Linked DNA regions of Neurospora crassa OR74A. The protein of the gene in region 1 purifies or fractionates together with the protein of each later gene. This does not show direct contact. Links are inferred from orthologs where the notes say so. Each region holds a gene or a part of one and is shown in the gene's direction. Other genes may lie near its edges.

Region 1 (4,172 bases):
CTCCCGAGGGTGGGGAGCAGTTGGTGTTGATGCACAAGGGGAAACACCTCCCGTTGATCAGGAGGGAAGGGTTGCCGCCGCCGGCGTCGAGCGATGTTGAGCAAGATGAAGCCTCGCAAAGTATAGATAATAAAGATGATTCCGCTTGATGGTTGATGACACACATTGAGACTGTGAGAGATGATACGCTGGAAAGCTCCTAGTCTTCCCAAATCGCCTGCTTGGCTCTCAAGGCCTCCTCCTCTGCCTTCTTCTTCCGCTCTCTCTCCTCCTCCTTCCTCTTGCGCTCCTTCTCGCGCAAGGCCCGGTCGTAAGCCTTTTGCTCCTCGGTCAGCTTGGGTGCCTTCAGCCCCAGAGCACCGGCAATCATCCGGCGGGCTACGGCGTCCGTCTTCTCGGGTCTCTTGTACTCTGAGGAAGAGGAAGTGTTGCTGGCGCTGCCGCCTGGCCCAGTGTAGTCGAGAAATGGTGGAATGGAAGTAGAGGTAGTAATAGATGGCTCCGGCTTTTTTTGGTTGTTGCGTGAAGGCGGGGGAGAGGGCGCTCCCTGCTCATCATCACTGTTGTTGTCGTCCTCCCATGATTCCGGCTGCGCACCAAAGCTACGCTCACGCTCAGACTTGGGCTCGGTCTTGGCCTCGGGCTCGGACTCGGAACTGACATCTTCGTCTTCCCAACTGTCGGCAACAGGCTCTGGCTTCTTAGCCTTGGCGTTCTTGGGTGACATTTTGGAGACTCCCGAGGTGATGTCGTCTGATGAAGGTGGTGCCATGTTGGGTGATATATGACTAGCGTACCGAAGTGGTGTCAAGATGTGTGTGAAAGGATGTTGTCTGATGGGTTGATGTTATACTTGTATGGCTGATGGACGAAGACTGTGTGTGGTACAAGTAAAGTGTCGTTAATGTAAGTTGAAAGAGCCCGCAGTCATGACCTTGGACTTCCACTTGGGCGTTTTGATATGCGGGTTGCTGCCCCTGCGGAGAGCTGCCCTGTCTGATACTATGTACTAGCGAACAGTGCCTGCCGATGCCCCGCTCCGGATCGGTGCTGCTAATGGATGCTCTGCTCGCCGTAAGCTCTCCCGTCCGGCAGCAGTTCCAGGCGGCGGAGTGGTGCTATGAGTTGGAGACTTGGAGGTAACGATCTACACTATACTGCAATTGGTCAAGCGCCTTGGCGACTAGTCTAGGCGCTAAACTTCACAACGGCGATGATGGAATTCCACTTGACCTCAGCTCCAGGGCAGTCCTGTCCCGCCGTCTGAGAGCTGGAGAGCGGCGGATGAGCTGTTACCATATGTAGTGGGCTGGAGGTACGTACCTTTTGTACCGTGACGCAACCGGGACGGTACCTAGACTTGGTAAGTAGTAAAAGACAGTAATTCCTCCATCTTCTACCGCCGGCCGAAGACCGAGGGAGCTCGAGTCGGTCGCTGTTCGCCTTCCGCCCCGTCGAGTTGATTATTCATACACCTCATTTGTCACGTACTGTAGAGAGCGCGAGAGTCATGGGCCTTGGGTTCCTTGGAGTCGTCGTCGTCGTCGTCGTCGTCACACACCCTGAATAGAACCCATCTTCTTATCTTTGCCTGTATACTACTATTTTAACAAACTGTAAACTTTTTTTTTTCCCGCCGCTTCGCCGCATCTCCGTCTCCCCCGCCGCGACCTCTCCCGCCGTCCCACTCTCAACACACACACCCGACCACATCCATTCTCCCCTCCCCTCCCCTCCCCTCCCCTACGACCGCAGCTCCCGTCCACTGTCGCCTTTGGTCCGATTTCGGGTCCGCTCTCTTCTAAGAAAAGACGACAATCCTCCTCACGAATCTCGACCTCTACGATATCCTCTTGCCCAGGCCCGCTCGTCACTGCCTGTATCCACGATGCTGTCCCGACAGCGCATCCCGCGCATCCTCGCGTCGAGGACATCGCTTGCGCATTCGATTAGGTCTTTCACCTCAACCACTTCTTCGATACGCCCGGTTGCCGCGGCTGGCCAACATGCCGTGACCCGGCCCCGACACGAAAGACCGACGAACCTCTCGAGTTTCTCAACGTACACTGCTCTGGGGAAGAAGAACGACAAGGGCTTTTTCGACAACTCGATCGAGCCACTATCAGAGGAGGAGCGCAAGGCAAACGTTGAGCACGCCGAGGCCGAAGCAAAGGAGGCTGAGTCGAAACAGGCCAAGTCCAAGTCTTCAACCTCGGATGCCCCGCCGCCGGCGCCAGAAGATGGAAAGGCTGGCGCTGCTGGCGGTTCATCTGCCGGCTCGGGCTCAGGCGCAGACGGTGGCTCCGGAGATGGTGGCAAGCGAGGCCGCAAGCCTGGTGATAAGGCATTGGCGAAGCCCGTCGTACCGGAAATCTACCCCCAGGTCATGGCGATTCCTATAGCGAAGCGACCGCTCTTCCCCGGTTTCTACAAGGCCATTACCATCAAGGACCCCAATGTCGCTGCGGCTATTACAGAAATGATCAAGCGCGGACAGCCATATGTGGGAGCGTTCTTGTTCAAGGACGAGAACGCCGACGACGATGTGATTCGGAACCGCGACGATGTCTATGACGTCGGTGTTTTTGCGCAGATCACCAGCGCTTTCCCCATGAACAACCAGAACGGCGAGGGTGCTAGTCTCACCGCGATTCTTTACCCCCACCGGAGAATCAAGCTGTCGGAGCTCATTCCTCCCGGCTCGCCTGAGGCTGCCTCGATCGATGGTGCGAAGGAGGGTGCTGCCCCTGAGCCGGTACCTGAGCCGATCCCCAAGGTGACCGACGAGTCTGAGCAAAAGGGTGACGTGGTGGCGAGCTTTGAGGAAAGCGCCGTGACACCTAGGCCCGAACCAAGCCAGAAGCCCTACGAGCCGACATCGTTCCTTAAAAAGTATCCGGTCAGTCTTGTTAATGTAGAGAACTTGACGGAAGAACCCTACGACCCCAAGAGCCAGGTTATACGCGCCGTTACGAACGAGATCGTAAACGTCTTCAAGGAGGTCGCTAGCATGAACAGTCTCTTCCGGGATCAGATTTCCACCTTTAGCATGAGCCAATCGACCGGTAATGTCATGGCTGAGCCAGCCAAGCTTGCGGATTTTGCCGCTGCTGTCAGCGCCGGTGAGCCTGCTGAGCTTCAGGAGGTTCTTTCTAGCCTGAACGTGGAAGAAAGAATGCACAAGGCTCTTCTTGTCCTCAAGAAGGAGCACGTCAACGCCCAGCTTCAGTCCAAGATTACCAAGGACGTAGAGCAGAAGATCACCAAACGCCAGCGTGAATACTGGCTCATGGAGCAGATGAAGGGTATCAGGCGCGAGCTTGGTATCGAGTCTGACGGCAAGGACAAGCTCGTCGAAAAGTTCAAAGAGCTCGCCGACAAGCTGGCCATGCCTGAGGCCGTGCGCAAGGTGTTTGATGACGAGCTGAACAAGCTCGCCCACCTGGAGCCTGCCGCTTCCGAGTTCAATGTCACGCGCAACTACTTGGACTGGCTCACCAACATTCCTTGGGGCCAGAGCAGTGCCGAGAACTTTGACATTCTGAATGCTGTCAAGGTTCTGGATGAGGATCACTATGGTCTCAAGGACGTCAAGGATCGTATTTTGGAGTTCATTGCCGTTGGAAAGCTACGCGGCACCGTCGAGGGTAAGATTCTCTGCTTCGTCGGTCCTCCGGGTGTCGGCAAGACTTCGATTGGCAAGTCCATTGCTCGCGCACTTGGTCGCCAATACTACCGCTTCAGTGTGGGAGGTCTTACCGACGTTGCCGAAATCAAGGGTCACCGCCGGACATACGTGGGTGCCCTTCCCGGCCGTGTCATCCAGGCCCTCAAGAAGTGCAAGACCGAGAACCCCTTGATCTTGATTGACGAAATCGACAAGATTGGCCGCGGCTACCAGGGAGATCCCTCGTCTGCACTTCTCGAGCTCTTGGACCCCGAGCAAAACGGCTCTTTCCTGGACCACTATCTAGATGTCCCTGTAGATCTGTCCAAGGTGCTTTTCGTCTGCACTGCTAACCTGACTGACACCATCCCACGGCCCCTTCTCGACCGTATGGAGGTCATCCGACTTTCCGGATACGTCGCAGATGAGAAGATGGCCATTGCCGAAAAGTACCTTGCTCCTCAGGCCCAGGAGATGGCTGGTCTCAAGGGCGTTGACGTGCAAC
Region 2 (3,177 bases), on another chromosome or scaffold:
CCTATCTCCCATCATCCATCTCACCGTTGATTAGCATTCGCAATCTCACACATCTTCTCGACCATCATCATCTTGGTTGACTTGACCGGGCACACACTACGGCACCCAAGACCAGAGACGAAGCAAATGTGCACCTACAAGACCCACATCCGCGTGTGCCGCCGGTGCAGCAGCGAGGACACAGTCCTCATTTCAGAACAACTCTGTTCCGTAGCCAGGAACAGCGGCAGCGGCATCTTTGGCTCCTGCCTATCCGGGGTTTCCGGCCAACGAGATCAGACGGGGTACAAGTGCTGGCAATGCCAGGACGAAGCAACCCTCCCGGCATCCCGGTCTCGAAGCAGTAGTGGCAGTGGGAGTAGCACCTCGAGTGGCAGCACAGGCGGAGGACCAAGGAGGAGGGGGAGCAGTGTTAGTGTTAGTGTACCCATTGGAGCGCAAGGTGTGAACTCCATGTATGGATACAACAACAATAACAACTATCACCATGGAGTTGGAGGGGGTGGTGGCAGTGGTGGTGTTTATGACAGGGGGCAGCAGCAGAGACGGATCTCGGTATCAGGACAGACGACGACGACGACGACGACATTGATGATGTTGCAAGGACAAGGGAGGGAGTACGTGCCTGGACCGGCAGCATTACCGGTATCAGAGCAACAGCAACAGGGACAACAACAGGATCTCGAAAGGAGGTTGAGGAGGATGGGGAAGATGAGGGCAGACTTGGGGAGATATGATGGGCGGTTCATATAGATCAGATTGTTCGCGTGGGTATTGCTGGCATTGGTCATGTCATTTGTCGTATCGATCCGAGGCATCCAAGGCACTCGGTTCCTGGCAGCCATGTTTGTTAAGTGTGGATCCAGTCGAGCCGATCTGGACCCTGGAACAGAAGAATGCTGGACCCTTTACTTGTTGGTAGAATAGCTAGAACTTATAAAGGTGTTAAGTGGTATGGCGTTGAGGAAACAAATCGTAAAAGCAGACCATCAGTTCCGTATATAGTCGACTAAAATAAGCTATTGATGAACAATTATCCTCTGGGCGCGATGTGAGTAGTCGAAGATGGAGCTGGAGGTAGGCCGCCCGTTGTTACGCGCACCTGAACCTCAACTGAAGACTGACAAAATTTTAGTGGGTCCAAAGCGTCATTGTGGGGGAACTTCCGCTAGGTGGGAGCTTATCGGCTGGCGCTACGCTTTATCGATGGGGTTCTTGCCTCTTGTCCCCGCAGCCGGGGCCTCATTGGATGGTCTGTGCTCGGCATTTTTTTGCGCTAGCTACTGCAGAGCTTTTGAAGATTTCTGGAGACGGGACCACTCAGCTGCTCTCGGCACAGGTTCGTGGAGCTTTCAGCGAGCGGATCCAATGATCAAAACCATCCATCGTGGATTGTCATCGAATTTCTCCATCACTCACGTTACCCATCTTTTCGTCTCGCTCCAGTCTTCGTCCACTCACTTACCCCAGCTTCCGTCCTCGACAACACTCCTCTGTCCCAACGCGCAACAACACGATCGGACCCGAATTTCCAATCTACAGTCAACAAACTACCCCCCACCAAATCCGTCAAGATGATGTCTCTTCGTGCTGTCGCGCGCACCACTGCGCCCCGTGCTCTCCGTGCCGTCTCTGCTTCTCCCATCACCCTCGGCCGCGCCACCGTCCGCGCTACCAGCAACGTTCTCAGGACCCAGCTCCCCCAGAAGGCTTTCTCGACCACCGTCTTCCGCGCTGCCGCCACCGAGATCGACTCTGAGCTCTCCGAGAAGCTCTCCACCGAGATTGGCTATGAGCAGGACATTGCCTCCAACGAGCCCGTTCCCGCCACCGTCAAGGATTTCCTTGAGAACGGCCCCTTTGAGCTTGTCGATACCCCCGGCAAGGAGGACGTTGTCCTGAAGCGCACCTTTGGCAACGAGCAGTAAGTTGAACCCCCAACATGACTTCGATCAAGAACCATGCGCTGACCAAGGTACGCCAGGATCACCATCTCCTTTTCCATCGCCGACCTCCAGAACTACGAGCCTGGCATGTTCGACGAGGACACGGCTCTCGGTGACGAGGAGGGTGCCCAGAACGAGGAGGACATGGGTGAGGACGGCGGCGCTCCCGTCCGTCTCAACATCGTCATTGAGAAGCCCAGCAAGGGTGCCCTCAACATCGACGCCGTTGCCCAGGACGGCTCCATTGTTGTCGACAACATGTTCTACTACCACGACGCCAAGCTCGCTCACGGTGAGAGCGCCGAGACCCAGCACGCTGCCCAGGCTGTCTACCCTGGCCCTCCCTTCGGTACCCTCGACGAGGATCTCCAGGTCCTCATGGAGCGCTACCTCGAGGACCGTGGCATCAACCAGGCCCTTGCCCTCTTCGTTCCCGACTACCTTGACATGAAGGAGCAGAAGGAGTACCTCAGGTGGCTCAACAACCTCAAGGGCTTCGTCGATGCCCAATAAATGGGGAGAGATGAGATACTGTCACGAGGAATGGAAAATCCAACAAGGAAAAGGCGAGAGGATTCGAGGCTGCGGGACGGCTTTTTGATTCCGCAGCTGATGTATGACATGTACCTGTAATTATATCCCACGTTTGATATCACGACTCCATACCAAAATTTGTATAATGCAACAGAAGCCGATGGGAACGGGTTGTGTAAGGATGAAGATGCTGTAATAGGACCAACGTCCAAGTGGACAAGACAGTTTTTAAGTTGATACAGCACCAGAGATATGACCGCAAAGGGTCCAAGTCATGAGGTGGTATGGCAAATCTTGCCCATTCTCGTTCTATGCCATGCTACCCTTGCTCGCCTTGGAAGCCAGCGGTCATGCCATTGGTTGAACTGGGGTCACTGATCTTTTAGCCCAGCTGAATCGAACTTCAACTTTGTCCATCTCCTTTCTCCGTCTTACCTTTTTTCCGTTGCAGAAACATTATACTTTGTCAGAATGTGCTTGTGATATGACATCTTTCTAATCAATTTTTGCGTTCGTTTCCGAGGATTCCGGTTACATTCATTTCATTCGTACATTTTGTCCTTAATTCACGCAGTCACTGCAACTCAATATTCGCATTGTGGTGAACATCTTGCCTCAGAACACCATCAAACTGCAGACACGCAGTCAGAACCCGCTACTCAATACCTAACCTTTACAAACGCCTCTAAATAGCACC

What was found.
Region 2: the proteins of NCU05261 (region 1) and NCU06086 purify together in Saccharomyces cerevisiae (affinity purification with mass spectrometry; 4 studies listed by BioGRID, with this or other methods). This does not show direct contact. The link is inferred for Neurospora crassa OR74A from reciprocal best matches to the Saccharomyces cerevisiae genes PIM1 and MAM33.

What each region holds. Positions count from the first base shown.
Region 1 is NC_026504.1:5,554,279-5,558,450, forward strand, and holds the start of NCU05261 (ATP-dependent protease La), read left to right. Parts: upstream 1-1,372; 5' UTR 1,373-1,888; coding exon 1,889-4,172. Other genes in the region: NCU16891 (hypothetical protein), read left to right, coding at 1-149; NCU05262 (hypothetical protein), read right to left, coding at 200-772. UniProt on the Saccharomyces cerevisiae protein: ATP-dependent serine protease that mediates the selective degradation of misfolded, unassembled or oxidatively damaged polypeptides as well as certain short-lived regulatory proteins in the mitochondrial matrix.
Region 2 is NC_026507.1:1,859,720-1,862,896, forward strand, and holds NCU06086 (regulatory protein suaprga1), read left to right. Parts: upstream 1-1,371; 5' UTR 1,372-1,574; coding exon 1,575-1,924; intron 1,925-1,984; coding exon 1,985-2,459; 3' UTR 2,460-2,677; downstream 2,678-3,177. Other genes in the region: NCU17215 (hypothetical protein), read left to right, coding at 127-753. UniProt on the Saccharomyces cerevisiae protein: Not known. Binds to the sorting sequence of cytochrome b2.